Linked DNA regions of Styela clava. The main gene of each other region encodes a partner of the protein of the gene in region 2 in a complex. Links are inferred from orthologs where the notes say so. Each region holds a gene or a part of one and is shown on either strand. Other genes may lie near its edges.

What was found.
Region 1: ragulator complex protein LAMTOR1-like (region 2) and folliculin-like share a complex: the UniProt entries of both Homo sapiens proteins name them as parts of the lysosomal folliculin complex. The link is inferred for Styela clava from reciprocal best matches to the Homo sapiens genes LAMTOR1 and FLCN.
Region 3: ragulator complex protein LAMTOR1-like (region 2) and ragulator complex protein LAMTOR2-like share a complex: the UniProt entries of both Homo sapiens proteins name them as parts of the ragulator complex. The link is inferred for Styela clava from reciprocal best matches to the Homo sapiens genes LAMTOR1 and LAMTOR2.

Annotation. Positions count from the first base shown.
Region 1 is NC_135254.1:8,920,056-8,931,527, reverse strand, and holds folliculin-like, read left to right. Parts: upstream 1-7,126; 5' UTR 7,127-7,221; coding exon 7,222-8,700; 3' UTR 8,701-9,431; downstream 9,432-11,472. Other genes in the region: hatching enzyme 1.2-like, read right to left, coding at 60-220, 590-754, 1,143-1,152; astacin-like, read left to right, coding at 1,847-1,859, 2,056-2,226, 2,311-2,475, 2,806-2,963, 3,309-3,444, 4,090-4,247, 4,390-4,447, 4,573-4,749 and 1 more; DNA damage-regulated autophagy modulator protein 2-like, read left to right, coding at 9,490-9,691, 10,250-10,404, 10,773-11,014. UniProt on the Homo sapiens protein: Multi-functional protein, involved in both the cellular response to amino acid availability and in the regulation of glycolysis.
Region 2 is NC_135255.1:23,606,643-23,617,966, reverse strand, and holds the start of ragulator complex protein LAMTOR1-like, read right to left. Parts: upstream 5,067-11,324; 5' UTR 4,988-5,066; coding exon 4,862-4,987; intron 3,315-4,861; coding exon 3,143-3,314; intron 937-3,142; coding exon 737-936; 3' UTR 1-736. UniProt on the Homo sapiens protein: Key component of the Ragulator complex, a multiprotein complex involved in amino acid sensing and activation of mTORC1, a signaling complex promoting cell growth in response to growth factors, energy levels, and amino acids.
Region 3 is NC_135260.1:21,001,356-21,012,309, reverse strand, and holds ragulator complex protein LAMTOR2-like, read left to right. Parts: upstream 1-5,550; 5' UTR 5,551-6,522; coding exon 6,523-6,903; 3' UTR 6,904-9,003; downstream 9,004-10,954. Other genes in the region: glomulin-like, read left to right, coding at 9,094-10,954. UniProt on the Homo sapiens protein: As part of the Ragulator complex it is involved in amino acid sensing and activation of mTORC1, a signaling complex promoting cell growth in response to growth factors, energy levels, and amino acids.

The DNA.
Region 1 (11,472 bases), on a different chromosome or scaffold from region 2:
AAATATATAGGTCGTGTGTACAGAACATTGTCAAGATTGATTATTTATATAAAATTTACCGTATTCGGTTTATCCACCCGTCGTCCAATTTGTGCGTAGCAACCACGATCGTCAACAAACTTCACGAAATACTTTTCCGTTGTTCTTGGAATAAATCTCAGACAGGTGGTTTCATGAAAATCATTGATTGCATATCTTATCGCAACTTGAGCATTTATATCTAAACAACAATGTCAAGCTGTGCATGATAAAATGATCAAAGTGCTACCTGAAAGTAACCCAGAGAAATGTTAAGTTCAAGTCAAGTTACATAAGAGAGTACCGGTCATGTTTGACGAAATATCGCTACGATCAGTAGACATATTCTGGAGGTAGGGTAATAGGGTATCAATCGTGACTTCATGCTAGTGTGCTCGGCATAGCAAAATTTATAACACCCTTTTCGATGTGATGTGCATGGCCAAACTTCGCAATACAAATACTATAAATCGGAAATAAAAAATATTTCACAATTACGCGAATGGGTGATAAAAATGTAGTTTTCGGATTATTCCATAAAAGTATGGATCTGAATCATTGATTGACTTACTGACTCCTTCCATCACATAAGGAATGTTCCAATTGTCTCCATCAGGAAGATTCATCCACTTCGTTGCATCTCTCGCACTCGCCCTTCCTTGAACAGAGCGACGGATAATTGAGCAGCTAGAATATCGTAGCGTCAAGCAAATCAGGAATGATGTGACGAGTATATCTGAATATCAATTTTAAACATTTTCGATTTTTAACTAATTATTCACTGAAACAACAAAGCATTAAGTCCTTCGAATGACTCTTCTGGAAGGTATGATTTGCTGCCTATCATGAATTTAATTGTAACATTTAGTCCCTAGTGATTACTTGCTTCTCCTTTTGTTTTACTTATTGGGAACCATGCTTCAAGTCGTACAATACCCCAGACAGTTAAGGTGCTTTTAAAAACAACAAACAAACTGGATACGGCCATACCAGCAAAAATACAGTAAAACAAACTTCGATTAAATCTATAGAAAATATATACATTAAGTTTACTATTTAAAAGGATAAGTCGTAAAAAAGCAAATTTTGTTATTCTTTGAGATAACATAAAACAAACTACTTACTGTTGTTCATTGTTGAATTCCTTCCTTGAACAAATATTTAAATAAATATTTCTGATTCAGATTATAACTTATTCTCAAAATCACTAACTTGCATTGAATAGTTCAGTCCGATTCTTTGAAATAGCAAGAAAATCGTTTCTCATTGCATTCGAAGGATTATTACGAATCCATGACACTGTTTATTTTAGCAAATTACTTGATTGTAACAAATGTTATACAAATAATTAAAATCCGTATATTGGCCAAATCTTCTCAGAATTTCATGTCTGATATACGACCACGTTTCGACACTTGTTGATTGACGCGACTCATCTTGGACTTGGCATGGCAAATATTTAATCTAATGGAAAATGGCGGTAGTAATTACCGAAGCAAAATTCAGATTCCTTAACAATGGGAGGGATCAACCATTTTAGAAAGATATATTTGCCAGGTATTGTTTATATTTCTTCAGAACAATTATACTTTTGCACCAGACCAAGTGTGATATCACAGCCGCAATAACAATCACTACTTTATAATCAACGTAATTAGAATTGAAAATTATAATAACAAAAAAACTAATAAACAATTAAATCTTATTACGCGTTTTTGGAAACAATTTACAAATAATTATCGAAAACTGTATAAAAGTGCAGAGATGGGTCCTGAACTTCATTCACTGTATTTTAAGTCGAGCCAACAGTTTGTTATATTTGAGCACAATGTTGAAATTCGGTAAGTCAATTTAAAACTTTCATTTCTATTATCGTTAACCTGTGTCCTATTTTTCGTAAATGAAACTTAATGTTTTACTCCTATAATTTTTAAAATAAAAACATGATCACCTTGCAAAAAGCTTATGAAGTATTTTTTGTTATATATATATTATATGATCGATTGTTTCCAAGTTGTTCTTACTCGTCTTTTTCAGCATTTATTCTTATCGTCGGTGCGTGTGCCGTATCAGCAGTGCGGATTCCTCGGACACCAAGTAAAACATGTGGAGTGCAGAATGTTGCTGTAGAATGTCCTGGTACGAAATGCATTGAAAGACTGTTAGATAGCTATGGATGTCTCACTTGCGCCTGTAACCCAAACCCAAGTAAGTGCTTCTTTTGGAGAAATCGTCTTACCGATAAATCAGTTTTACGAATGTACAAGTAACAATACATTTCAATATTTTCAGCTCGTATGGATGACATGATACTCTCTCCAACGGTTGCCAGATTTATTGACGCTGGCTTCAGACCAGGCCGGCCATCGAAGGGCGCCAGCATTAGTTTCCCGCTTTGGAACAACATTCCATCTGGGACCACATATCTCATTCCTTACGAGTTTGCTTCGGGGTTCGGTGAGTACTGCACAAGAGTTAAAAATTTAGTATTTTTTTTCAAATATTAAACTTCAATATTGTCTATGAGAGTTCAACATTTCTTTACGACTGCAAATCGTCACAGCAGTTTACACACAGACCTCGTCTATGATAAACAGCAAAGCAGCACAAATAAATGGCATAAAATGGTGCCAGTAATAGACTTATAAAACGATTTACATCTGTAATCACTCTTGAACATTAAAAGCGAAGGGCTTAACTGAATAAAAAGGACTTTCTCTCTCAACAACAATTACCACGCGTGCAATTTATATTTGAATAATAAGTATTTATAATTTTACCTTGCAGCCAGCGCAGGACAAACCGCCGTTCAGCAAAGCATTGTCGACCTGGAAGCCTCAACTTGCTTACGATTTATTCCAAGGACTTCACAATCAGACTACATGCAGTTTTACGCTGATAGTGGCTGTTTTGCACCGATCGGACGTAACACTGGGATAAATAGGGTGCGACTAAATAGCAAAAATACATATGCTCTTAAATCTTATTAAACTAATTTTCGCAAAGTCGCAGTCGACCACTGAAATGTAAAAAACAACCCAAATCGGGTTGCGGCTTCACTCTGGTAATAATTCAAAACTGAGACGTACATGAATTTCAAATACCTCCGTCTATTCAGTATTAAAGCATACTCGGCTTTGGTTACTGCTGGTTGACAACAGTTTCAGGGTGTGAAGTGAAATTGAACCCTTGCGGTATTTTCAAATCATATTGGAAATTCATCAATATATCTACCTCATCTTCTGACTGACAAAATAATTGAACCACTGATATAAATTTTTTTTTTTCAGATTTCTCTAGGTGACGGCTGTCAGACCAAAGGTATTGCGATTCATGAAATAATGCACAGTCTAGGCTTCTTCCACGAGCATCAACGACCGGATCGCGATGCTTACGTCAATATCATCTTAACAAATGTGGAACCAGGTAATTACAAATTATTTATAAGTTTATTATGTGAACAAAGATGGCGGACACCGGAACGTAGTATGTGTCAGGTTAAGTTTAGGCCATAATTTCAGATACAAATACTACGAGAGTCACTTGGCTAGTCGCCGAACTCGTAATAGAAATAAAATAAGAAAAATTGGAAAAAAATCCTGGCCTAACCATAACCCGGTACACATACGTTCCGGTGTCCGTCACCATGGTTCACATACCTCGGGAAGTGGCCATACCAAAAATTTTGCAAGTTTGTTATTCCTAAATTACTTATCAAAGATCCAATCGGCTTCAAGTTTCTACTCACGTGCAAAAATCCATAATTTCATCTGATATGGTAACGAAATTATAGCTGGAGCATATTTATTTTCTGAGGGTATCCTGTTGAATTACGTTTTTTACTTCGCAAAAATACATCATTAATCGTCTAATTCCCCCCTTGACAAAAATTCCCAAAACGCGATTTTTTAAAAAAAAAATATTGACTTGAATACAAATGATTCAAATACAATTGAATACAATTCAAATACAATTCAAATACAAATTCAAATACAAATACAATTCAAATACAATTCAAATACATTTGAATACATTTGATTCAAATTCACTTAACAACTTTATATTTTTCAGGTAAGGAGGGCAACTTTGAAAAAATATCAACAATTGATTCGCTCGGGTCACCATACGATTATACATCGATTATGCACTACTTTGGAACAGCTTTCTCTAAAGACGACACTTCGAAAACTATCACGATGCCCGATGGAACTGATCTCGTTGGATACCAGGTATACTTTATATATCTTTCGATTCATCTTTGAAGTTAATAGTGATGCCATTCTAATTGCTTGCGCCCTAACTGTCTTATTTCGAAAAGAACGATGCTTAAATGTAGCCTACATATATAACACTATTTTATTTCGTTTTCAGGAAGCTGGACTAGTGCAGACGGACATTGATCAGATCAACTTGCTTTACAAGTGTTCAGGTAGGCTACTTCTAGGATAAAATAGAAAATATAGGATTTGACTATACGAACTCTTTTCTTACGAAAATACACTGGAATTCATTTTACGCCATTGTGTTAACAAATTTTACGTTTCTTACCTACAGCTATTACCACAACTACCACTACTGTCAGTCCAACAACAGTCCCAAACCCGACATGTGCGGATAAGCTGACGGAATGCCAGTACTGGGCAGCAACAGGAAGATGCAGTTCTGCGGGATATATAAGAATGATGAGAAAGAAGTGTCAAAAAAGTTGCGGATATTGCACTGCGTCAGGAAGTAAGTTGGCTTCATATTGGTGAAATTGTATATTACTAATCATAAGGCGCACTTTTTTCCCTTCAAAATCGATCATGTGCTTTATAAGCCGGTAGTGATTTACTGCCCACTTTCAAAATAAGTACCGTTTTAAAAATCGATGTACCTTGTTGCCCGATGCATATTGTGTATGGATAGAAACCGATTGTAAGCCATTCATTGACAGTGCGCCTTATAAGACTCTGCGCATAATAGTCCCTAAATGCGGTTATATAAAAAATGGAACTACCGCGAATTCGAATATTTCTTCAAATCAGTCGAAGATATTTGCTAAATATTATTTCTTGTTTTCCAGCACTCGCGTGTTTCGATCTGAGTGGAAATGCATGCGCAACTCTCAAGCGACTTTGTAAAGCCACTGTCGTTGTCCGCAATATCTGCAAAAGAACTTGTGGCCAGTGTACATGAAGATAGATATCGGTGTATATCACGTGATGGGAAGGATATCTTGCAAAATAGTCAATGTCACCTTCTTGTATATATCACTCCCGCTTTTATAACTGCCAGCTTAATAAATGGAAGTTTGATATACTGAGACGTTTGATATGTTGTTATTTTACGTCGGAAGAGCAGTATATAAAATACATAACTATCACAAAGCTCTCTCATAAAAAGATCAAATGATCCTCTTCAAAATCATGTGATCGTGTGACCTCGATTCAAGTTAAGCGTTTCGTGTTATAATCGGAAAAACAGGTCAATGGCGTTTTTGTGTCAGTCCACTTCACGTGACTAGTCTTGTGACAATTTAGGGGAATCCCTTTTGTCGATCATTTTCTTGTGTCCAGCAGTCTGTGAAAGCGCTTGGTTTATCTCGGTGTTCGCTAACGTTCAGGATAGGATTTACATATTTATCCCGGGGGAGAGGAAAGTCGATTACCCGGCCTCTCGTCCGGTTACCATTCCATATCACTGTATCGGGTACCTGTATGGGATTAGGTAATTATTTTTCGGCAGCATGGACTTGGTGGTGGAGCAGTGTCAGTGTCTGAGTCCTGAGTGGAGAGTAATCACGCAGAGTAATCATAGGTGCGGAGGGGAGCGTATATCTATTGCTTAGCACGATGCCGGCGATTCGTAATATTTGTCATATTATTGCATGTCATCTAGCAGTATTATCATTAATATATACTGTTATATGCCAGTTTTTTGAGATTATGTAGAAAGGTGGGTGGCAAGTTAATGACTGTAGAGTGTAGTGGTCGCAATTCCGGTAACCAATTAAGCATCATACAGCCATACCAGTATTTTGGTACGGCACAGTTTTTTGATTCCAAGAATAACCCTCACATTCACAGACATCAATTACTGAATTATAACAACTAGAATATACCGGTACCCCTCCTCTACGAGTCTGGGCCTCAATATTGGCACAAATCGGTACCGTAATGAGCAATATACTAAATGGAAGTGCAATCTAAAAAACGTCACCATCAGATTCCTCTGGAAAAAAACATATAGGGTGGCTTACCCACTTTGCGGCCATGACCTATCTGCGACCATCAACTTCATCGATTAAATTAATGCCGAAAAAATTAACGAACCGCGACGATATTTCTCACACGTTATCGTCCACTTATCCCTCGTAGCTCTGCGAAATTACACTAAAATGCGGCCACAAATAAAAAAGTTACGACCGAAAACCTGACCGAAGAAAAAAAACGGACCATTTTACCATGTCGCCAACTACCCATTGTTCCCTCAAAGAAGCTTGAAAATCCATACAAATATAAAAGATAAAGAGATGAAACTTGGCAGGTGGGTAGAGTTGTGTTTCTTTTAACCATCTTTAAAGTTTCGCGTTTCTACCTTTAAAGGAGGGGGAGTAGGGGGGTGCGCATTTCCAATACGTCAATAAAATCTTTGTCAACTAATTTGCGACCACCGTGTTTTTGTCTGTTTGATTGCTGTGATGCGGTGCTTTGTTTATAATTTGAAGAATTTTGTTTGAAATAACCGTGTTCTTAAAATATATGACGGTCAGAAATGCAATTAGAAGCCCATTTTTTCACGCATGGCTGCGTATGCCCTAGTCTCGACGCAGCAGAAACAATGTTCAAGGCTTGAAATCCGTGATCGCACACTGGTCGTTCGGTCGCAAATACGTCTTCAGAGTGTCGTACTTTGGTGGTTTGTATAGCTTTAACCCCTGGTCGTAGAAAGTTAATTCGAAGTTCAGCGTGTAGAATAAATGCCAATGCACCTACGGTGGAAAAATTAACGGGTTAGAAATATTGGTTTTTGTTTTATAGCGGTTTGAATGAAATCGTCCGCAGACTGGCTACACCATCCTAGTTTTGATACTATGAAATGGTGCAATGAGTAGTGTTTTATTTGTTATATTTAAATCTTTAAACATTTGGAATTTTTTACAGGACTAAATCGATATACTATTTTCTAATAAGAGTTTCGCTTAAATATATATTCCTTGCAATGAACGCTGTGATAGCCCTTTGTCATTTCTGTGAGCAACATGGTCCAAGCGTGATGTTCTGCACAGAGAAAGGAGGCTTACCCCCCCAAAAAGAAACTAATCTGGATGCGTTGCCAGAAGTGAGCTCTTCGCAAGAAATTCCACTTGGAACCAGTTATCCAGATTCAGTGATGTCTGCGGATTTTTCAAGACCTTGTTCGAGACAAAACTCTGTTAATAAAAGTTCGCTTTGTCAGGCGTGTCGATCTTTACCAGATGGACATAAAGGATTCATAAGCTATGATGGAAAAACTGAAGAAGTTTTTGTTAGTTCTCAACATCCGCAGAATCCAAATGTTTTTGGTAAAGTTCGACAAGCTTGTGTGAGGAGTGTCAGCAGCGAAGTATGCCCTGGAAGGGAAGGACCTATTTTTTATGGTGATGAAAATGAAGGCTACGTCTTAAGTTATACTTTTCCAATCAAAGACAGTCTTGCAAGAGGTTTTAAACGTCAATATAGCATAATCGTTGTTATGATGGATCGTATATATTTGATCCAGTCCTGGCCTTTTCTTGTAGAATGCATCAGTAAGATAATAGCATATTTTCAAAAATGTGCTGTATCAGTGTATAACAATGAACATGCTGAATGTCCCCAGAGAAATACGAGACTAAAGTCATCTCTATCGAAGACCGTAACTCCGCAAAATTTTCGATCAAATCGGAGCAGTCATTCTAATGCAAGAGCGCTTGTTGAACTAACAGGCGATGAAAAACTATATTCATATCTTCATTCATCTTTCACATGGTTAATACGAGCTTGTAAACTACGCTGGAAAGAAAATGTCATTTATAATCCACCCACTTTAGAGAAATTATCTTTAGATGAGAACGACCAAACTATTGCTTCTTCAATTGAGTCGGGTTTCAAATTTCTTTCGCTACGCCACATGAGGGAAGTTTTACAACCTCCACGATTCAGAGCTATAGTTTGGCATTTGCTTATTGGTAATCAAGTAATCTGGCATGGATTGCAATCTGCTGTTATATCAGCCATTCATACCCTCAAAAATATCCTACCAAAAGGCTGTGCTAATATTGCAGAGTGGACAACTACAATACCAACGGACAAAAATTTAATTGGAATGCCTTGTCTTTTGAGTTTCAAAAATGTCAGAACGAAAGACTATGTTATTGTAGAAGTCTTGTGGAAGAATGGAATAGAATTTAAATGGAACAGCAGTTGTGTTATTCCAGAAAAGGGTCCAAGCCTTCTTGAAAAACTGGAGGTTGCTCTAGCGAATGAGAATCTTTCCAATGAGGTTGTTTTGCAATGTTTACTTTGTTTAAAACAAGAATGGATCAATAAAACTGAAATTCTTCGCAAATTTGTGACGGATAAAAGAAATAAAGATGACACAACAGATTTATTACAGAACTGTTTATTCTGTAACGATGATGATGTAAAAATGATGAAGTTTTGGTTGACCAGTTCTTAGTGGTGTCAGGCTGAATGAGAGATAAAATGAACTGTATTTCTCTTTCTATCATGTAAATTCATATACATTGAGGTACGGTCAGTGGTGTAATTCAAATTTTTGTCAGCTGGTTCCTTCACAAAAATCATATTTTTCAGCCGATTCTGTTACAAACAGAACATTGACAGTAACCAGTAATGCTAACCGGTTTGCTGATCTCATAAATTTCCGTGAGACGGTTCTATAGAACCGGTGCAAACCGGCTGATTCCCACCACTGGGTACGATGTTAAACATTATTATAAGTTGTCAAGTGTAAAACTGGCATGCCCTCAGTTACTGATATCTGTGATTTTTTCAGTATCAATTGAATTGTGTTGAGCTAGTCTCAAAATATCATTCTAGGGATGTTTTAAAAATTGTTTTGTTTTAATACTTTATACATTTCATTATTGCTCTATTTGTGTTATACTATTTTGATTTTTACAGTATTATAATTGGATGCAATAACATTTCTACCAATATAATATTGTCGAGAATTTATCTCATGTAATTTGTCAGGTGGAAAATTGAGTTATATCATGTTACAACCTTACTTCCAATATTTGTACTTTCTGCAATTTCTGTTGATGCAGACGTTGAAATTGAAAAATAATGTGCTGTTCAACTTCTTGTTTTTTGATATGTTTTGTTAATGTTGTATTGAAATTATATTGGTGATCATATTCTTGTTTCTGTAAATTCTCCTATTAGGTCTTCCAATGTAGTATTAAAATATTTTTATTCACTGTTCTACTGAACCACGTACATAATGGATTTCTGGTTTACACGTGGGCTTTCTTTTCTTCCAATATTCGTTATTGTCTGGACATACCTGACCTTCACCATTTCGTATATAATCTCTGTTTCTCGTGGGGATGTTGATCCAGGGTTTCCATACATATCCGACACTGGTGCAAGAAGACCAGAAAGTTCAATATTTGGACAGATGTTGAATATTACAGCTGCATTTGGTGAGTTTACTAATGGTAAAAGGGTACTTCCTTAGTATGTGAACTAAGATGGCGGACACCGGAAGGTAGTATGTGTACCCGGTTAGGCCATAATTTCAGGTACAAATACTACGGGAGTAACTTGGCTAGTCCACAAACTCCTAATAGGAAAAATTGGAATAAAATTATGGCCTAACTTGGTACACATGCTATGTTCCGGTGTCTGCCATTTTGGTTCACATACTACGGGAGCGCCTGTAAAACATGTGTTGTTACAAATGAGTACAAATTGAAAAAATGCTCCGAAATCAAGTCCATGCATCTGAAATGAGTAGGTGATTTGGTATTCCCTTACCTGACATGGACTAGTAACCTGGCCGTGGTTCACCATGTGATTAAGCTGAGGAATTCTATCTGTTTCAATCATGTCTGACATGGGGAAGGCGCAGGGTTTTCCAAAAATTATATCAGCAAGATTTTGCAAGGACTTTTTAATGTCGTCATGATGTTTAGTATTTTTATTTCAATGTTGCCAGTTGATTAGTATTTAAATAAACGACTTTTCTATTTTTATCACAGCTCTGGCTTGTCTGTATGTTCGTTACAAGCAGGTTGAATCCTTCCTCATTAAACTCTCAGACCATGATGTACGGAAAGTTTATCGGGTGAATAAAATATCTTGGTATTTCGGGATTGCAATAAGTCTTGGAATGTCTCTTGTAGCGAATTTTCAGGTAACGACATAAGAGTTCAACTCTTCTTATTTGATTATTTAGATTCAGATGTTTGTTTCGTCGTGCATGAAATATTGTAATGACACAATTAAACAGCTGCAATTGACGGACCTCAAGTATGCACACCAAGATGGCGCACAGCCTGAACATAGTATGTGTTAATGTGTACCAGATTAGGGTTCAGGTTATGCGACATCTTGGTGCGCATACTTCAGGAACACCCAATTGACAAGGGGCCACGAAAGACTACCAAAGTCATTGTGTCAGCGACACCTAGAAAGCATATCTATCAGGATAGGAAAATCTTTGTTGACTTTTAAAAAATCTGTGAACATTTGCTTTCATGCTAATCTATTCTTACTATTCAGGAAACGAGTGTCTTAGGAGTCCATCTATTCGGGGCTTTGCTTACATTTGGAGGTGGCACTGTATATGAGTTTATGCAAACCTATATAACTTATAAAATGCATCCTGAAGTTAATGGATTGGTCGTTGCACATGTTCGTCTTGGAATTTCAATACTGAGTGTTGTCTTTATTACAACTACTTTCATTGCGTCAAGTATTGCCCAAGTACCTGTCAAATTCCATTGGGCACCTGAAGATCATGGGTATGATTAGTTATCGTTTTGAATATTGTTTTAAATGCATTTCTCTCTTCCAAATTATATCGGTAAAAAGCATTTTTTTTGTATTTATTCTGAAAATATAGAAGCCTGTAAAATGGCCAGCTACATTGTTAAGTCTTGTAAGCAGACAAGGTCACATAATTAGCACCTTGGATGGCAAGTCTGATCTCAACTCGTTGCACTCACCGCCAAAATCTATGTTTTACACATGGGTGTAGTAATGAAAAGAATCTTTATTGGGCCTGCAATACTGTTATCAATCAATAATCCATCGCAAAGTAGGGCACTTGACCTTGATTTATATCAAATGACATTTATATGTCAAGTTGTGAAAACAATATTTAATTTTTTTTTTTTGTTATAAAATAAGGATCAATCCGTTTCATCAGATTTTGATTTATGATCTGGTGGGTAATTCAGTTACAGCATTATCTTTGCTA
Region 2 (11,324 bases):
GTTTGGTCATGTGGTGGTATTAAGTAAAACAATCTAAAACTAAACAATGATGTCACAATAAGCACCTACATTTTCTATAGCATAAGCATAGAGTGATGCCTATGGGCCTGTTTTACAGTAAGCCATGGTACAAACAGCTAAAATTAACATGGTTTGTCAAATCTTAGATGTTTTGTACATTCATCCTCTACCATACCTCAGCGACCCCATGACCTGTTTGCAACCCTACCTACTTATCACTCTGACCCAATTTGGGGTCGCGACCCCTGGTTTGGGAACCCTATTTTAGAATATTAAAGGAGGGGGGAGGGGGGGGATTCTGAAATTTATAATTGCTAAGTTAGACCTTGATAGCTAACTGGAAAACGCGAGTTTTAATAAAGAGTCTTATAAGGGTCTAAAACGTGTTCAAAGCTGCAAAAAATGCTTTTTGAGCAACATTTCATGTCTTAACCCCACCCGTCCCCCTGGCTTCAACCTTTTCTCAGATATTTGAGCTTGAATCCAAGTCAAAATGCTCCTTGCCCAGTGCCTTGTTTAGAATGAAACATCAAACACAAAAATAGGGGGACTTCTGGCTCTCAGTGGCTGTTTGCACAGGGTCTGATTTGGAGTAAAATGTCGAATAACACAAAACGGTGTTCCTTAGTTATCAGCTCCTCACACGGAGCTTTGTTTGATAAAAATACGGAAATATTTATGAAAAAACATATTTTTACAGTTGAGTTTTGATTTCTCATCGCTGAGCGAGATCAATTGTTAAGTCTTGTTTCCTTATGACACGTATGTCTCCCGCGGCAACAGCCAAACTCTCGCTGATTTCATTAATAAGCATGATGTCATCAAATGAAGGCATTGGACCGCCGAGTAACGTTGCAGGATTGTTGCAAGCGGACCGTAACGACGGCTTTCTCACCTCCAATCTCCCTCCAAGAGCTGAAAAAACATTTAAAGTTAGGTTACTTCACATTAGGGAACAAAGATATTCAAAACAAATCGAATGTTTCTATCTATTCAAAGTAATTATTTTGGTACTTCTGTACTGTAGTATGCAAACCAAGATGGTGGACGCCATGCATCAAACAGACAAAGATCAGTCTGTTTTTATTTTATCAATTTCGAAGCTAGAGCTAACTAGTAGGTCTGTTTTAGAATCTAAATCAACATAAATATTCAAAAAGACTTTTCCCATTGTTCCAAAGTACGGTAATTATTTTAAACGATAATTGTTGTTGTGTTTCTGGCAACAAGAGTTTTCCCTAGATGTCATTATGCTTTTCTGGCCAGTTTTGAATTGAAATTTGCATCAAAAAAAGGTTGTGCAGTCGAAGTTTGGTTTCTTTTATCAGTGTTAGAGCTGGAGTCAGATGTCATTTTTACAATTTGGTGTGTAAGTTTGGATTTGAAATGGTTTTGTTGGTATTGGGGTCTGGGTTGTGTCTTTCAGCTCCCTGAGTAGGGGGTAGTTGGCTCGGGTTCCAAATAGCGACTGTCAATAGAGCGACTACACTACATCGATTCATTTAAAACAGCGACTGTCACAACAGCGACATCACTCCCTTTATTATATCCAAGGCTATAGTGCAAAAGCACTCTTTCAGCCCCCCAATAACACCCCCCCCCCCCCAACCCACACACACACCTTCCATCCCCCATACCCTAACTTTGATTTGTCATTCCTGTACAAAAAGTCGCTATCATAACAGTGGCTGTTCTAATGCGGCTGCCATTATGACAGTCGCTCACTTGATTACGTCGCTATTATGAAGTCGCCATTATGACAGTCGCTGTTTTGACAGTCGCCATCCGGCCTGGATACAAGGGTAGTTGAGGTGAACCAAAATGTATTAAAACTCATCGAATTGAAAGTTGATGCATTTTTTGAAATTACTCAAATTACTACTAATTCAGAAGTTTGGAGTTTGACATGGTATTGGTACCACAGTGAGTCATTCAGACATTGTTGTCGCTATCAACATTATTCGAAGCAGTCATGCAAGAAATGCCAAAAGTTTCACACTGTCTTTTTCATCAGATAAAATAATCTTAGCATAGGTATATTTATTTTATTAACCTAATCCTCCCGGTTTGACGCATGCGCGAAATTTCAGACGTTTTGCAATGCTGTGTGTATACCATGAGGTCTGGAATGTTTGTTATGGTCTTGCTTGAAAGGAAATCTTATTCCCCACACAACGATATGAGAATGAACCTTATATGACATTTAGAAGTGATAAAATTTCGCTTACATATCACGCGTGTACTTCCCGCTGCGATATAAAAACGTCGCACAACAAGAAAATGATTCCATAAACCTTGGCGTTGCGCGCAAACCAATAACAAAAGCTAGTATGATAAGGTCTTATTTTGAAGGTCATTTTATATGCTACATAACATAGGAGAGTGGACATCTCACAACGTCAGGAAGTTATAAAAATATCGAGTCGTTTGATCGCAGCTGCCTCACCGAAAAAAAGTTAGGCGTTTTATCTCGCAAATTCTCCTTGTCTGACGATTATAAGCTTTTATGATTCATAATAAATGTTTTATTATGACTCACAAAAGCTTTCAACGCGATAAAGCACAAACAAACAACCGATCGATCTATCAAGCTTAGCCTGGCCTGATTCGATGTGGTGACTTCTCAAACGGAAAATTTCCAAAACGCTTGAACAACACGCGCTATGGAAAAGCGTTTAGAATCATATGAAAGAGAAAACCAATGTGCAGTCAACTGTATAGTCACATTTCAGCTTTACAATAGCGATAGACGTCCAACAGCTGATAGAATGAGAGAGTGTAAATATTTTTATTATTTTTTGACGTTACGAAAGACCTCTTGAAAGATGTGTTTTAGTTTACGGTCCTCCAGTGACATCTAGCGTATAGTACTCTAAAATACCTTTCCAATGGTATATAATTATTGTATATTGGGTAAATTTTGGGGGTCGTATGACATTAATAAAAATGTATTCAAAATTGTGCTCGATTGAGCGTCTGAAACAGGTCAATCAAATGATTTCTTCAAACAAATTTAATGTTATTAAATGATACACAGTTTGGGACCACAGCATTGAGCATTGTTTACACATAATGGCTATTATTCTTGTATGGAAGTACTCACTATCTCTATTCCAATTACCTGTTAATTTTCTATTATACAGCGTCACTCTGTTCATATATTCCACAGCGTCAATCCTCGAATCTATCGCTGTTACGTCAATAACGTCAGATGAATATTTTGTTAGAATTCCATTAAGTAACGTCTGTTCGTCCTGTTGGCTTCGTGATACGCTTCCAATAGGTGTATGCTCCTGTTAAATTTAGCCAAGTGGTTAGAGCAGGGTTAGGGAAAGGTTTTTGCCCATCTAGACTAGGCCAAAGGGGCCGTGAAAGTCATATTTTATGAACAATATTAATAGTGTTACAAAAACAAAAGTGAAAAACAATAAGCCTTGTGCCAAAACCTAATTTAATCACAATCTCAACAAATTCCTTGAGTTATTTTTAGTTGAACCTCAAAATTTGATTTTGATTTGGCTGTGAATGCATCAGGCGGGCTTGATTGAATTATCCAAAGGGCCGGATTTGGCCCATGAACCGTAGTTCGCCCACGTCAGGGTTAGTTTAACTTAATTTTAACCTAGCTAGAAATATTGGGTTCAAATCCAAGCCCAATATGTCACCCAGGGTTGAATGAATTGGGAAAAAAATGCTGATCTGGAAAGATCTCTAACCGACATGAAAAGAAGGAAGTCAGAGCTAGAGTTACAGTTTTAAATTTTTCAGAGTCATAGTATGACCGCTTTCCGAAAATGGACCTTTCAAGTCTTCAAACCGAATCCATTATCACGTTTTAGAGCATTAGCCCTATTAACACCGAACTACAAACTTTATAACTCTGTGAAACCCAGGTTCGAAATATTTGAGTGAACTGTGCAGTGTACTTTATACAGTACAGCACACTATCCAAATTCCAAGAATTTCCCTCCATTTGGCTCAATAAAACAAACACTCTATGTGTCTCACAAAAGAGGGACGTCTGGGACCACGTCTGATGCTTCATATCACGCCATGCTTGTCTAAATAATAATCTAGATCAGGGCTACTCAACTGGCGGACCACGGTCCGAATTCTGACCTTTCGAGTATTCGATTCGGACCGCGTCTGATTTTATTTTTATTTTGGATGATTGTCTCCATTTAACTTTGGATCTGTAAAAGGATGTGGAATATTTTGCGGTTACTCAGTTTTCCACAACTCGCGTTTCCTTAACTTTTTAACCGAAAAGATAGAGTCACTGAATTATAGTTAGGCGCAGTATGAAATACATTTTCTGGCCATACCGGACCCCAAGAATTTTCAAGTTTTGTATACGGACCTTTAGCAAAAATAGTTGAGTAGCCCTGATCTAGATTAATCCCGGCCGTCACATGACCAAAATTGCTGTTTTTTGCTAAAGACTTTTGAATGCTACGGTGAAATTTTTTTTCCTTCGGTAAATTTGATTATTTTTTCCTAATGAATTCAATGATGACGTTACTAGATTGCGCTTTTTTGTAATATTTTGCGCAACTTCATTATACTGTATTATTATCGATAATGAAGGACAACAATGTCCATATTATTATCGATAATGAAGGACAACAATGTCCAGACGTCTCCCAAAGGAGGAGTGTCTGATCATCTGTAAAATTGGTTTCTCTGAAACGGGACAATGTCACCCGATTTGTATAATGTGCCGTACTGTTATAGGGAGACTGGACCCCAGTAAATTCCGTACTAATCTTTGTGGTATAAGCACTCGGAGGGGTGAAGTTTGTGTAGATTGTATAATATGAAAATAACAAAAAGTCACTACCTCTGCGATGACTTGTGTATTGATTGGGGCTGTGTTCGCAATTGTACTATTCCCGTTTCCTAGCAACGATGTTCGCTCATCCGCTTCCTCCTCATTTTTCTTTAAACAACTCTCGAGGCAACCCATAATAGATCAGTAGATAGGATGCATTAATATTATTTATACTATGTGGATAACAGTGGAATACTGGAATAAAAAAATAGGGTTGCCACTTTGGTATGCAATCTCGATCCCACTTTCTTAACACTTTTATTAGTACTTGTGGTACTAAACCAGGGGTGGGCAACATACGGCCTGCAGGCCGCGACGAGATTTTGACTGGCCCGCCGACTGTATCCAACCACACTCTGTAATGTGGTTCGACGCATCACTCCTGAAAGTTGCCGATCGCTCTACTCTCACCGCACTGTCAGTGCGAGCGGGTGAAATAAACAATTGTCTTTCTTAAAAGTCGATAAGACAGCTTAACCATATGGCGAACCAGAGCCAGAGTTTTGGTTATCAAAATTTGGTTTTCTTAGATTTCGTAGTTAGAGTCGGAGTCAAATTTTTGACAGAAATTTAGAAAAATGTTTACTACACATTCTTCAAAGGCTATTGAGGGAAGCTTGCATACGCTAAAATTTTTGTGATAAAAATTAAATTTTCTTTGAGTTCATAGTTGGAGTCCTAATAAGAAGTAGGTACCCACTGTGAGTGCTAAAAACGCCAAACAAAAGTGATGTGAAAATATTTGCCTAAATAGGCTATTCACCAGAGTTTTTTTAGTAAAAGTCAGTCAGTCACGCACGGAGAACTACCGGTATACCCTATTAGGGCGTGGGACATTGAGGCACCAGGCTGCCAGGCAAGAATTTCATTCTGCATCAGACAGTCTTTCACCTTATGATTTTGTTTAGTGTTCAAGGAGTTACGATTAACTTGGATAGACAGAAAGACCTAAATATATCTCGACCCTGAGAGTTATATATATCCCCTCCACAGCCAGACAGAATTGATTTGAATAGATGACCAGGTACCACGGTACCGTAATTTTCCAACTACATATCAAAAGAATTCAGATAATTCGAATTCAGATAAAGCTATTAAGAATTGCTGAATTGCGTAACGTCCTGACGTCTGAACGTCGGTTTTGGCCTGCCCTTCTATTTTTAATGTAAAAAAGCATGAAATTGGAATTTGTTTTTTTCTGCTATTTGCTTGCTTTCCTGGCACCTATAAATCGGTACCGGTACCGCCTTATGCCGATTTTGTGAAATAAAATTCACGACTGCTGCCGATAGTGCGTTACGGTACAAACTACCGCTGCGCCTCCAAGGTACGGTTTTAAGTCATGACGGCACGTGACTACTGTAGTCTGAAAGAGCATTCTGCCTTTATAGGCCGCGAGCCGAGGCCATTTATCTTTCAGTTTCGTAGCGCACATCAGGTAACTACCTGAAAATGATTTTAAAATGTTCCTTAGAAATTTAGTAACAAATATTGCCTTGTTCCCACTTCCAAAAGTTGCACGTTTTACAGAAAAGACGCTTTTACTACACTAAATATGTGTTACCATCTGTCCTATTTTCTCTGCTTTTCCGGTATCATGGGCCAATGAACGCAGACTTCTGCACGACGTAACAGTCAAGTTAGTCAGCTGTAGGTGGATCCCCAGTGGTCGGATGAATATCAGATGTACTCAACTGCTCGCTTTTGCGTTGAGTAGTCTTTCCATAGTTTTTTTCAGTTACCGGTAATATTAGTCCAGTTATTCTAAGGAGGTGTTGAAAAGTATAGGTAAGATATTAAACACTTGTATATCCTTGCCATAAATAGCAATTTTAGTTGAGCACTAGCTCATAAGACGTTGTTAAATAGGTACGGTGCGGTAACTCCAAGGAAGGCTAGACCTAGAATAATATGTCACAAACAACGATATTTTCTGGCTTGCATGAAATGTTTATGATTAATTTAATGACTCTTCTTGACTATTCAGCAGACTTATACTACTATATAGGCCACAGCATATTTGGAAATAGAAATGAATGGCTGTTTCTGTAATGCACGGTTGTGTGAAAGAGAAGAAATCAATCAATTTTACTAATGTCGGTTGGTCTAAATCTAAATTCATAGAGTCGACAAGAACCTGGGAAGCAATGATAAGTTATGCCGGAGTGGAAAGAAAGGTAGCATTGGAAATGATTGAGAGGTGAGAAATGAAGTTGTAGACAAACAGTTGATGTTTCAAAATATAGTCTATAGTCCATACTCATACTGTCATAGGACATTTCAGACTGTGATATATCAAAATTTAGTGTAGATATAGTCTAGTAATGGTATGCAAACACTGCTGGACTGTAGAACATGCAATGAGCATATATACGCTCATTTAGTACATCAGATAAAATGCATTATGTATTCAAGGTATTAGTTAGTATTTAGGGGTATTTTTAAAATCATGCTGCTCCAAATATTATTTTCTTCCTTATTTTAGATACTGTACTACAAAAGAAAACGGCAATGTTCCACCAATCCGACCTAACGCAGGCTCTGATCCCTGTTGCTATCAGTGCTATAAAATGGATTAAACAAGAAGTCTTGAAGCTTAAAGGTATATGAGAATCATATTAGTTGCAAACGGCTTAGATGGGCTATTTATATTGAAATACTTAAGCACTTTTCTGCAATTGGAACTGCCCATCAAATTCAAGTTGGAGACTTCATTGAGATTTTCAATTCATTTTTTTCCCTCGACTATGAAGATCTTTTGAGGTTAACGAGGTATTAATAAATAAAGCTGAGGAATTTAAAGAGGATATGAAGAATGTAAATGATACCAGGGCACGTCTATTTAACACTGTCAAACATAAGGATTATACTCTCCACCCAACAATGATTCACTGAAGAAGCATGTGGCCCTCAAATCAGTTCTTGAGTTGGCAAACTGCAAAGAAAAATAGTCAAAATAATTTATGAAAGTGTGCCAAAATCAACTTAAATTGCACAGATTTTTGTTTTTGTATTGACTGCAGAAATCACAGTACACCTATAGAGGAAACGTCGATTTCTGAGATTGTGGATTTCGAAAACAATTCAGAAGAAAGTGAATTAGATATTACAGTTGATTTAATAAGTATCATACATTTGTTGTTTTTTTCGGACATTTGTTAGTGTCGTAGTCCTGTTTCTAGAAATATTATTGCCTTTGTTCAAATACATAACCACATAAACTAAAAAAAGATTAATTGTAAATTGTAATATTTCTGTTCACTATGTTATGTACATATTGTACATTCATTTAATTTTCTTGACTTTTGCGGTAAATTTCTAAGTGAGAAATAACTGATTTATTTGTGTTTTCGTGCTCACGATGTTAATTTGTGACTTCATTGCTTAAAAATAAATACGTTTGATACTTGATAGCTTCTATAAAATGGATGTAGCTTTTTATGCTGTTCTTGTTGTAAACTGCTTGTGGTTATTACATAAAATTTATTCTCAAATGTGAATCAGCGTTGTTGGTGTCGCTGCTTTCGAGGTCACTCCCGACTCCTGTCACACAATTAAAGTATTTTTTGTTGTTGGTTACATGTATGCCATATTTTTCGTAATCTACCTAATAAATTATGATTGACTGAGGAAGTCCGATTTTGGTCAGGCAAAACATTACAGGAATACATTTGTGTTAGTGTGCTGTAGGGCTCTCGAATTGTATAGTTCTTATGTATGCGTTGTAAACTTATGGTTATTGAATTTCCGGGAACCTCTTATATTCAATTTCGCACCAGGATTGTGGAACAAGCTGTAATGCGTTCATTATGTTCGTTTTCACACAAAACTGAAGAATTTATTTAGTTACCAGATGTGCGCTACGAAACTCATTTTCTGGGCGTTTTCATGGTTTCGTCTCACGGCCCATATCCGTGGTAAGGATCTACAAGTGTTTAATAATTTACTTATACATTTTTCAACAACGTCTTAGCATAACTTAACTGATAATAACTAAACAGGGCTATGGAAAGCCTGCCCAACTCAGCGCAAGGTCGAGCAGAAATAACTAATATTCATCCGCTCGCTAACAGCTGGTTTAATTCAATTGTTACGTCATGCAGAAGTCATTGTTCAGTGCCGAAAATGTAGAGAATATAGGACAGATCGTGACACATATTTCTTGTAGTAAAAGCATCTTTTCCGTAAAACGTGCAACTTTTGGAAGTGGGAACAAGGCAATATTTGTTACTAAATTTTTAAGGAACATTTTAAAATCATTTTCAGGTAGTTACCTGATGTGCGCTACGAAACTCACTTTCTAGGCGGTTTTCAGGGCCTCGGCTCGCGGCCTATTAGTTTTGCTGTCGTTTGGCGTGCGTTACATTATGATTAGTATAAGCGTAAGTATAAGTATATTTTGAAACCATAATAGGCATAAAAGGCGATAAAAGAATTGATAAAAACAAGCAAAAACTTATTACTGTATTAGGAGCCTGCCTGTGTTCGAAGACAATAGTCTGTCCTTACGGGCTTTTGCTTTTTTTATGTTTTCCACTTGACAGTTGAAGTCAAAACTTTCTATTTATTTCTTAGCGGTACTGAAAATCCTATTCTTTACTTTTGTGCGTGAACAAGAACCAGCATTTCCTATTAATACCGCGACAACAGGCTAAAAAAGAGATGCTTTTTTTTAAAACAACGTTGCATTATTGTTAGTTTTTAAAAGTACGGTGATTCAGATTCAGATAATTTATTTTCGTCGTGCAAGAAACATTATGAACAACACAAGCATAGTAAATCAAGGCAAAAGAAAACAACAGACACATAATGTTTCGACTGCAATTAACGAGGAGCCGCGAAAGACTATCAAGTCATCGTGTCAGCGACACCATTAAAGCTGAATGACGTCAAAAAAACGTCAAATGATTAAGGTTGAGTTATATATGATCAGGGCAAAAATTTGGAAAACGTAAATCGAATCGAGAGAGTAAGCCAAATGAGAAAAGTTTAAATAAAAAGTATGAATGGAATCAACAGAGTCGGGGAAGAAATGATTAATCTAGAATTAAGTTAGCTCAGGGGAAATTTAAAAAACGTAAATCGAATCGAGAGAGCAAGTCAAAAGAGGAAGGTTTAAAAAGAAATGTGAATGGAATCGAGAGAGAAATGTTTAAATGTGAACAAATATCCATCGTGTCGAGTAAAAGTCAGAAAAAAACGCGTTCACGATAAATCATTATGTCAGTCTCGCAGCGTCATGCTCGGGTGATCGCAATCACAATATGAAATTGGCAGGACGCTGCAGAAACTTAGCAACTGAAGGGGAATTCCCAGCAACCATAACAGGGGAAGCCGGGTTGGATTAAGTACCGGTACTGATACGGCAATATATAAATAAATAAATATATAAGTACAATTCAGACAGGAAAAACAGTTTTGATGGGAAAAGTTCATTCCACATGTACTTTGGGCAATGATGCAAACTCAGTGATAATGGTCGTGCTCTGTGAGGACAATAAAGAAAAATGGTGACAATGCCAATGGCATTAAGAGGTGAAAAAAGTCACGATCGTTTAGGTAAAATAGAGATCCTGGACCGAATGACCAGTTATAGAAAAATCGAGCCACACAAAAGGTGGGGGACATGGGTTGTATACGGTACACTACTATACTTATAAGGGATAAGTCAACAAAGTATCTGAATCTTCGTATTTGATTGTTGTTTGATAGATTGTTTGTAGGTAGAATAGAATCAAAGAGAATATAAAGGTTATATTCACTTTAAATAGGGTAGGATTTACGTATTTATCCCGGGAGAGAGAATACCGAAATGAAATAATCGAGATATTTATTATTTTGTCAACCAAAATACAAACAGTCATCAATACGAAAAAAGGTATTGTATGTGCTTCAAACTAGCGCATAGTTTATAGTAATTAAGCAGGTAAAAAGCTGATAAGAATCTGTTAATGTAGGCAGTCGAAGGAAGGGCAGTAAAGAGACTGGCAGGTAACAAGCTAAGACGAAACTGCGGCCGATCATCATACAACGTGGATATGTATGAGAGTCTGTGATGCAGTTTCGAGAAAAAAGGCGGTGAGCTCCGCGGTCAGAGGCGAAATGATTAAGGGAAAAGGCAGGAGTGGCCAAACGGTCAGGGACCAAGAGCCGTATTTCGTACCCTATTCCCGCGAAGAGCCACATTATAAACAAGAACACACATGGACATCAGATATACCTTTATTCAGCTCTGTTTTATTGCTAGTTTATTGTAAATATCACTAACCAACATGATTATGACAGAAATTTACAAGCCATTTATTGTTATGGATGCGGGACTTCCGGCATTTTTTGGTTCGAACAATTCTCTGTAAATTTGGCTTGTATGTCGTTGTAGCTGACCGAAGCAGTACTGTCACATGTGTGTCATTAAGAAGTCAGGGTAGAAAACACAGATTCTCAGACGTATGTTATCCCAAATATTGACAAT
Region 3 (10,954 bases), on a different chromosome or scaffold from region 2:
AATACTGTACGTCTATTAAACTTAGAATGAGTTGCAGAAGAAAAGTATAAAATACCAAAAAAACATTTTACGCCCTCTCGTGGATTCTTTTCAAAATTTCGAAAAATAATCGATTTTGGAAGGGGAATTTCTCGAAAACCGCCAATAAAGGCAGCACTACGACACATTCGGAAAAAAGTATATACCCTATAGATTTGATTTCACTATAACAAAACAGTGGTAGCATGTTTTGACTTGGCTATATATAATACCAAAATAGCGTGTATTCTCAGTTTTATAAACATTGTCGACGTAACAAATTCAAGATGGATTTGTATTTCAACTGAAGCTGCTGGAAAAATGATCAAATATATTTTTCTCTTTGTCACAAATGAATACTGTACGTTTATTAAACTAAGAATTAATTGGGAAAGTTTAAAATAAATAAAAAAAACATTTTACGCTCTCTATAATGGGTTCTTTTCTGAATTCCGAAAAATAATCGTTTTTGAAAGGGCGATTTCTCGAAAACCCCCAATAAAGGCAGCACTACGACACATTCGGAAAAACGCAAATACCTTTTAGATTCGACTTCACTATACTATAACAGTAGCAGCACGTTTTGACTTGGCCATTTATAATACCAAACAAAGCGTATATCTCAATTATTTGAATAGCGTAGATGTGCCCATATTTTAAAAAGGTTTGGTATTTCAAATAAACTCACCTAATATCGTAATATTCCGTTTTCTTACTTTTTCAAACACCGATACTGTGTGTTAATTAAACTTGGAATAAGATGCAAATTGTATGAAAAAGTTAAAAATGTCTTACAACCTATATATAATTTTTTCAATTTCCCAAGCATGCCGTTTTTGGAGTGACGATTTCTCGGACAATGGCCAATAAAGGCAGCAATACGACACTTTTGGAGAATAGCAGATACGTTAAAGATTCGATTTCACCAAACCAGAACAGTAGCAGCACGTTTTGATCTGACCATATTTAATACTAAACATAGCATATCATTTTCAATTTTATCAACTATGTATATGTAACATATTTAAAAACGGTAAAGTATTTCAACTAAATTTCATCAAACACTTTTCTCTCTTGGTCATACATCAAAACTGTACGTTCATTAAACTTGAAATTAGTGTGCAAATCTTAAGATGCCAAAAAATGATTTGACGCCCTCTAGTGGATCCTTTTCGGAATTTCGAAAAATTATCGTTTTTGAAAGGGCGATTTCTCAAAAACCGCCAATAAAGGCAGCACTACGACACATTCGGAGAAAAGCAGATACCTTATAGATTCGATTTTATTATGTCAGAACAGTAGCAGCACGTTTTGACTAGGCCATATATAATACCAAACATAGCGTATAATTTTCAATTTTATCAACTATGTAGATGTAACATATTTAAAAACGGTTAGGTATTTCAACTTAATTTACTGGATAATTCATCAAACACTTTTCTCTCTTGGTCATACATCAAAACTGTATGTTCATTAAACTTGGAATAAGACGGCGAATCCTAAAATAACAAAAAATGATTTGATGCCCTCTTGTGGATTATTTTAAGAATTTCGAAAAATTATCGTTTTTGAAATGGCGATTTCTCAAAAACCGCCAATAAAGGCAGCACTACGACACATTCGGAGTAAAGCAGATACCTTATAGATTTGATTTCATTATGTCAGAACAGTAGCAGCACGTTTTGACTTGGCCATATATAATACCAAACATAGCGTGTATTCGAACTTTTATGAACAATGCAGACGTAACATATTTAAAAACGGTTTGGTATTTCAACTAAATCTATGGAGTATCTGCTTTTCTTCGAATGTGTCGTAGTGCTGCCTTTATTGACGGTTTTGTGGAAATAGCCACTCCAAAAACGGTATGTTCGAGATATTAAACGAAATTACTATGGGGCGTAAGTCATTTTTTTGTTGTTTTATACAATTTGCAACTTATTCCAAGTTTAATGAACGATCATTATTGATGTACGTCCAAAAAAAAAGATGTTCGATGAATTATCCAGCAAATTTAGTTAAAATACAAAATCTTTTTACAATATGTTACGTGTACATTGTTTATAAAATTGTGAATACACGTTATATTTGGTATTATATATGGCCAAGTAAAAACGTGCTGCTATTGTTCTGACATAATGAAATGGAATCTATATAGTATTTTCTTTTCTCCGAATGTGTCGTAGTGATGCCTTTATTGGCGTATTTTGAGAAATCGCCTTTTTAAAAACGATATTTTTTCAAAACTTCAAAAAAAAAATCACAAGAGGGCGTCAAATCATTTTTTGTTATTTTAGGATTCGCCGTCTTATTCCAAGTTTAATGAACATACAGTTTTGATGTATGACCAAGAGAGAAAAGTGTTTGATGAATTATCCAGTAAATTAAGTTGAAATACCTAACCGTTTTTAAATATGTTACATCTACATAGTTGATGAAATTGAAAATTATACGCTATGTTTGGTATTATATATGGCCAAGTCAAAACGTGCTGCTACTGTTCTGATTTATTAAAATCGAATCTATAAGGTATCTGCTTCTCTCCAAATGTGTCGTAATGCTGCCTTTATTGGCGGTTTTCGAGAAATCGCTATTACAATAACGATAATTTTTTGAAATTTTGAAAATAATCCACAAGAGGACGTGAAATGCTTTTTGGTATTTTATACTTTCCGCAACTTATTCCAAGTTTAATGAATGTATAGTATATATGTATGTCCAAGAGAAAAAGATGTTTGATAAATTATCAAGGAAATTTATTTGAAATACCAAACCGTTTTTAAATATGTTACGTCTGCATTGTTTATAAAAGTTTGAATACACGCTATGTTTGGTATTATATATGGCCAAGTCAAAACGTGCTGCTACAGTTCTGACATAATGAAATCAAATCTATAAGGTATCTGCTTTACTCCGAATGTGTCGTAGTGCTGCCTTTATTGGCGGTTTTTGAGAAATCGCCCTTTCAAAAACGCTATTTTTTCAAAAACTTCGAAAAAAATCCACAAGAGGGCTTCAAATCATTTTTTGTTATTTTAGGATTCGCCGTCTTATTCCAAGTTTAATGAACATACAGTTTTGATGTATGACCAAGAGAGAAAAGTGTTTGATGAATTATCCAGTAAATTAAGTTGAAATACCTAACCGTTTTTAAATATGTTACATCTACATAGTTGATAAAATTGAAAATTATACGCTATGTTTGGTATTATATATGGCCAAGTCAAAACGTGCTGCTACTGTTCTGACATAATGAAATCAAATCTATAAGGTATCTGCTTTACTCCGAATGAGTCGTAGTGCTGCCTTTATTGGCGGTTTTTGAGAAATCGCCCTTTCAAAAACGATAATTTTTCGAAATTCCGAAAAGGATCCACAAGAGGGCGTCAAATCATTTTTGGCATTTTAAGATTTGCACACTAATTCCAAGTTTAATGAACGTACAGTTTTGTTGTATACCCAAGAGAAGAAAGTATTTGATGAATTTTCCAGTAAATTTAGTTGAAATACCAAACCGTTTTTAAATATGTAACATCTACATTTTTTAACAAAATTGAAAATATACGCTATGTTTGGAATTATATATGGCCAAGTCAAAACGTGCTGCTACTGTTCTGACATATTAAAATCGAATCTATAAGGTATCTGCTTTTCTCCAAATATGTCGTAATGCTGCCTTTATTGGCGGTTTTTGAGAAATCGCTATTTCAATTACGATAATTTTTTGAAATTTTGAAAAAAATCCACAAGAGGACGTAAAATGCTTTTTGGTATTTTATACTTTCCGCAACTTATTCCAAGTTTAATGAACGTATAGTATATATGTATGTCCAAGAGAAAAAGATGTTTGATAAATTATCTAGGAAATTTATTTGAAATACCAAACCGTTTTTAAATATGTTACGTCTGCATTGTTTATAAAAGTTTGAATACACGCTATGTTTGGTATTATATATGGTCAAGTCAAAACGTGCTGCTACTGTTCTGACATAATAAAATAAAATCTATTAGGTATCTGCTTTACTCCGAATGTGTCGTAGTGCTGCCTTTATTGGCGGTTTTTGAGAAATCGCCCTTTTCAAAAACGATAATTTTTCGAAATTCCGAAAAGAATCCACAAGAGGGCGTCAAATCATTTTTTTGGATTTTAACATTTGCACACTAATTCCAAGTTTAATGAACGTACAGTTTTGTTGTATACCCAAGAGAAGAAAGTATTTGATGAATTTTCCAGTAAATTTAGTTGAAATACCAAACCGTTTTTAAATATGTTACATCTACATAGTTAATAAAATTGAAAATTATATGCTATGTTTGGTATCATGTATTGCCAAGTTAAAACGTGCTGCTACTGTTCTGACATATTAAAATCAAATCTATAGGGTATCTGCTTTTCTTCGAATGTGTCGTAGTGCTGCCTTTATTGGCGGTTTTTGAGAAATCGCCCTTTCGAAAACGATAATTTTGTGAAATTTATCAAAGAATCCACAAGAGGGCATAAATTTTTTTTCAGTATTTCAGACTTTACACAACTTATTCTAAGTTTAATGAAGTGCATTATTGTTGTGTGACAAAGAGAAAAATATCTTCTTTGATGAACTATCCAGTAAATTTAGTTGAAATACAAAATCAGTTTCAAATTTGTTGTATAAACATTGTTTTAAAAATTGAAGAATATACGCTATTTTTAGTATTATATATGGTCAAGTCAAAACGTGCTGAGACTGTTCCGACATATTGAAATCGAATCTTTGAGGTTTCTACTTTTCACCAATGGTGTTGCAATGCTGCCTTTATTGGAGGTTTTCATGAAACGACCATGTTACACGACGAAAATTCAGTCATTTTTAAACAAAGAATTATAAAAAAAATTTGTGCACTGTAACAGTCGCTTTAGCTTGTTTACTATATATTAACAATACGAGGAGTGTAGTTAATGATTGTTTTGCTTTAATTGCTATTGTGAAACTAATCAAAATATACACTTTCTTATAAAAATCATTGGGAACATTTAATTTTACGCGTGGGTATTTTCTGCGATTCTGTCAGTCACAATTTCGTGTTTTGCTGCTAGCTTCACAGAGGTGAATGGTTTATGAATTTAATCAAATCAGAATCAATCAATCAAGTTTATTTTTTTCCAACCAGTAAAAAAGGAATAAATAACATAGGCACACAGTTTTACTGGAGAAGGGAAGTCGCGGGGAACCAAAGCTGGTTATCGAGGGGTGGAGGCTAACTCGCCATGGACCACTCGCGGGGTTAACGGGTATGCGGCATGCCTGCAACTGCACGAAGGCTCTTCTTGCAATGGGAGATGGAAAGGTGGTTTCACTTACAACTTCAATAGCGAGGATAAATATATTAAATTAAATGTGTTTGGTTAGAAAGATGTCTCAACTTATCATTTTCATCTAAGCATGCTAAATATATCACTATATTAATTGATTGTGTGAGCACTAAATCAACAGTGTACAATCGCAACTGCACAAAGGCTCTTCTTGTAATGGGAGATGGAAAGGTTTATCCTCGCTATTGAAGTTGTAAATGAAACAGCCACCTTTCCATCTCCCATTACAAGAAGAGCGTTCGTTCAGTTGTGGGCATACGGTATGGGATTAGTTAGCCAGTTATTTGTTTTTGGAAGCATGGACTTGATGGTGGAGGAAGCCGTACGGTACCGGTAACCGACCAGCGGTTACGTGAACCACCCTACGGCGGCGAGGAGTCCAGCAATCCTCTCGCACATGATCATCCCCGCATGGGATTCGAACCTGCGATCCCACGAAGGGTAATCGATAGGATACCGTACTGTAGGATTTACGGCCTCTCATCCGGTTACCGTACTACAGTACTAGGCTATTCCATGTCGGGTATCAAGGTATAGGATTAGTTACAATAGTTATTTGTTTTCGGAAGCATGGACTTGCTGGTCAGCTGGTGGAGGAAGCTGTAACCGATCAGTGGTTTGTGAACCACCTTATGGCTTATGGCTGCGAGGAGTCCAGCAATTTTCTCGCACATGCTGACATGACCATCCGTCCATTCTCATGTGGGATTTGAACCTGATTCGGGCTGTTTTACTTAAAACTTCAATAGTCTAATAGTGCTCTGAGAGACAGTCAACTCGCCATGTCTATTTTCTTTATATTTCAGTATTTGTTGATCGACATCGCGAGCTTGAGAGAGTCAACTCGCCATGTCTATTTTCTTTATATTCGTTGATCAACATGGCGAGCTCGAGAGAAAGAGAGCCAACTCGCCATGTCCATTTTCTTTATATTCGTTGATTGACATCGCGAGTTCGAGATAGAGATAGGGTGGCAATTTTTTACGCAAATGAAAATAAAATCAGAAAATATAACAATGTGTAGGTCATGGGCTTTTCCATATGCTTAGAACAGTGAAAAAGCTTGTTCATCTCTCACAGTCTCAACTGATGTGGGTATTTTCTGAGTTCAGAGTTAGGACAACCAAATAAATTTAATACATTAATACTGTAATATGTTGAATCCTCAAGATTTAACTCAAGTTTTGAGTCAAGCAAACACTGGGGGAGTACAAAGCACACTTCTTGTTAACAATGAAGGATCCTTAGTCGCATTTTCTGGATATGGAGATACAAATGTTAATGTGAAAGCTGCCATTACGAGTAGCATTTGGTCTGCATATGAGAAAAGTGGAAGTAATGCACTTAGTAATGAAAATCTACAATTTATGCTTTTGGACTGCGATGATGGTCGAGTTGTCATGACGAGAGTTGCAAGTTTGATTTTGTGTCTTTTTGCAGAAAAATCTGTCAATGTGGGAATGTTGAAAGCAAAAGCTGATGCATTGACAAAATATTTGAGTGAACCTCTCAAAAACCTTGCGTTAGTTACATAATGATGTACAGACATTATCCAGTTATCTGCAAGTATTTATTAATAACATTCTAACAACTATTTTCTATGTCTGCGAAATGAACAGAACAGTTTTAATTGTATTTTTTCTGTGAAATGTAGGGATACAAGTTTTATTCCTTATTTGATTCCTTCATTTATTTACCGTGAGCTAGGATCGATTGTCATTAGGTTTTTGATATAGCTACTTGGCCTACCATAAAACAGCCTAAATGCAGTTTCACAGAAGGGGTCCGCTAAATTAATATAACTGTATAATGATTTCAAATTTTTAGGTGGAACCTTGAACTTTTAATTATACAAATTTAACTTGAAAATTATTTATAGGGAGCATTAGAAAATTATATATGTAAAATAATAACCAAATGGTTATAAGATGGAGCCACTAAAATTTTTCACAACTCTGGCTCTCCAGCCCTGCTGAGACATCTGGTTTGAAATTTTGAAGTACATTTCTATGTGCTGTAACAGTGAAGTGTCAGATATCAGAAAATTTTCCAATGTTTATAACAATATTTTTTAAAACATTTAGCATTCTCTCTCTCTTCAGCCACTCTCCCTACTCGCTCTTTATAAACCCTTTAACTGATAACTCCTACTCCAGCCTTCTATAAAATTTCATGACTCAGACTCTCCAGCCCTGCTGAGACATCAGACAATTTGGTTACATCTGAAATACATTTCTATGTGCTGTTACAGTGAGGTGTCAAATATCAGAAAATTTTACAAAGTTTAGGACAATATTCTTTAAAACTTTTGGCATTCTATAGTTACTCTCCCTACTCACTGCGTTCAAAATATTTCGACGTAAAATTCTGTTGATAATATGAGATAGGGTATGAGCAAAGTGTAGGCCTTTATGTCAGTATGCATGACTCAATAATATTTTTTCTTTGCCACAATTTTCATTTGATGTGTTCAATTCTGCAATGTGCAATTCTCTTTTTTTTATATATATTTCTGTTCAACATTTTCTCATGAATAACTATGAACAAATGTAATTATCTGGTAAAAACAATTATTTAGTCAGATTTACACTTGCTTGATAGTAATAGAGAATGCTCATTATTGATATTGTTATAAAAGGTTAAATATTGTTCTATTATTGATTGAAATAGTCATTCTACATGAAGCGTTTCATTCAAAAGATAATAATTAATAAAATGTTTTAATTACCGGTATAAACATTTTATTACAAGAATTACTTTTAAATTTATGAACACAGATATCCTAATCTGTGAAATGAATTGCTAAAGTAGCTATTTTTTCTATACTGAATCTATACTCTGGTCATCATGATTTTATGTTACATTTATTTGGATATTTAATTAGGGGTCTCATGGTCACGACACATCTATGTGGCCTGCTGTATGATAAATTCACTACTTGTTGATGCAAAGATACCCGCAAGGTTTAATTATACAAGAAAAAATATGGGGTCTAGTGTAGTTTCGTACCCAAAGTACTTCTAGTGGGTGAAGCATAACAATTTGTGCATATGTCAATCCTAACCCCCACCTGACGGGGTCATCCAAAAATCACGTCACTACACCATCACAGTGACATAATAAGGGCCTTCAAACTATATGCACTGTCATCCAAGACACGCAAACGTTCACCCAAAATGGAACAGCTATTTCTCTCGTTTTGTCGGCGCAGCGATCCTGATACGAGAGAGATCGCTGCTGTTAGTGAGTTGTTTATCGTCGGCGCAGATGCTATTTGGGGCGATTGTAGGTATACTTTGACAAGCTCTATGACGTGTTTGTGACGTCGTAGTGACGCAATTTTTAGATGGCGTAGTCAGGTGGGGGTTAGGATTGTGCAAAAATTGCTGTGCTACACGAGACCCAAAATATGTAATGGTAGCTGCGGACTTGCAGTGTCAAGGATTTGTTTCCTTTAATTGGGAAAGAATAAACTTGTTGTTATTCCTGACCTATCCATTACTGATTATTTTCTTTCAATGATTACGTATACCCTAAATTTCCATATTGTGATAGCTTAATAATACTGATGATATATCTGGTTTTGTTTGCCATTTTCATTCTGAACTTTAATATTTTGCATCAATTTTTCTAGATGATTGCTTCTGATTAGATCTGTGGAATAACTTTTTGTAGGGTAGCCTACATAACTGTTCAATTTAAACTTAAACAAAGTCGCATTCACTATGTCTAGTTCTCAATTAACTCATGTCCATGATGGAGAGGATGTGGAAAATAGTAACAGTTTCCAGACTAAATTTCAAGGAGCTCTTGGGAATCCTGAAAAATTGTGGGATTATATCAACGAAAACAAAGAAGCAGAAACTGTTATCCGACCTGTTGCTTGGGAATTGATCGGTTCCACTATAAGTTTTCTCAGAGAAAATGCCATTTCTGAAAATCTGAAGACATATGAGAAATGTTTGGAGAAAATTGCTGGATTCGCAGTACCGAAAGATGTTTATCTGGGTATATTGGAACAATTTGACCCGAGTATTGAGTCGATGTATGTTGAACTTCTCATGCCTGCATTATCAAATGTTCTTGAGAAGCTTGCTTTAAATGACATCGATGCGTGTATCACTGTCCTTGAAACTACATTTTCAACTTTATCATATTATCTTGAAAGTCTAAATATTCCTAAGTATGAAGATTTTGATCCCACATTAAAACGAACAAAAAAATTCGAAGCTCAGAAAATTGAAAGTTTTATTTCTAAATATATTGATTTATTAAACCCAGTGGTGAGAGAAATATACTCTAAAAACAACCAGATATCTTCAAATATTCTTCAATTTGAAAGTTATATGTTTCAGTTTTTATGCAATTTGCTCATAATGCTGGGACAAGTTGACTTAGATGAGCCCTTACCAGATAAAGAAAATGACTCGATAAGAGAAAATGTAATTTTTCCGGGGACTTCAAAAATATGCTGTGACGTTATGCTTAAAATAACACATTTTCACTCACCAAATGTTCTGTGGCATATTGTGAATTGGTACAAGTTACAACCAGCTGAGGAGCGGTCAATGGAAGCTAAATTTGAAATTGTAAAACAAGTCGATCGAGCGAGAGCATGTTATGTTTTTTTATTGCTGTGTAGAGGTTTGCTTTATGATCAATTTCCTAAAGTTTATTCGAGTCAATGTCTTCTGGTATTTACATGCATATCACTAAACACTCTACTTTCTTGTGAAAACCAGTGTGTGGCATGGAAAGGTTTAGAAACTCTTTCATTCATTTTGAATCAAACAAGTGATAGCTCAATCTCATGTGGCGAAGTTGTCTATAATATAAAGATGTCTTATGGAAGCTTTCAAGGTCGTAGTCAATCACTAAATCCCATCCTTGATGTTTTTAAAAATCTCATTAGCATTGCTGTTATGCTACCTTCGAAAACTATCCGTTCAACTGCTATACAACATGTGACTAAACTACTGAATTTATTTCGTTGGGAGGATAAATATTCAATTTTAGTTCATCTGCTCAGAACAACAGATCACAATGGTGTGCAAGGAGTCTTGATTGGTTACTTAAAAGACCGTTTCAATGAAATTTTACAAGAAATTTCCCCGAAAAATTCTTTAATTTTTTGTGAAGCTCATAAAATGTCTACTCTAGGAGAGCTGATATTTTTATTACCTCAAGGAACAGAGACTGATTTACTTGAAGACTGTGACAGACTCATGCCTGCATTGAATTTGTTTCGTTTCCTTCTTATCAGAGATAAGACGAACAAAACAGGAATACTTGATCATTTGGATAAATTAGATACAGAGTTTCTAAAACCTTTGAGGAATGCTATTGACCTATCTCGAGCTCATTATGAAAATGAACTAAAGAAGTATGATCGGAGTTCTAAACGTCCTGATGATAATAAAACTGAATTTCTTGTTAATGGAACCCCATTACCTACTTTACCATACAAGGAGCAAAAGCGAACACTTGAGGCAGCATTGCATACTTTTGATATGATTGAAATTGTTACAATTAGGGTAATTGAGTTGATAGATGTTTCATACACAAAACACAATAGTGGATGTGAAA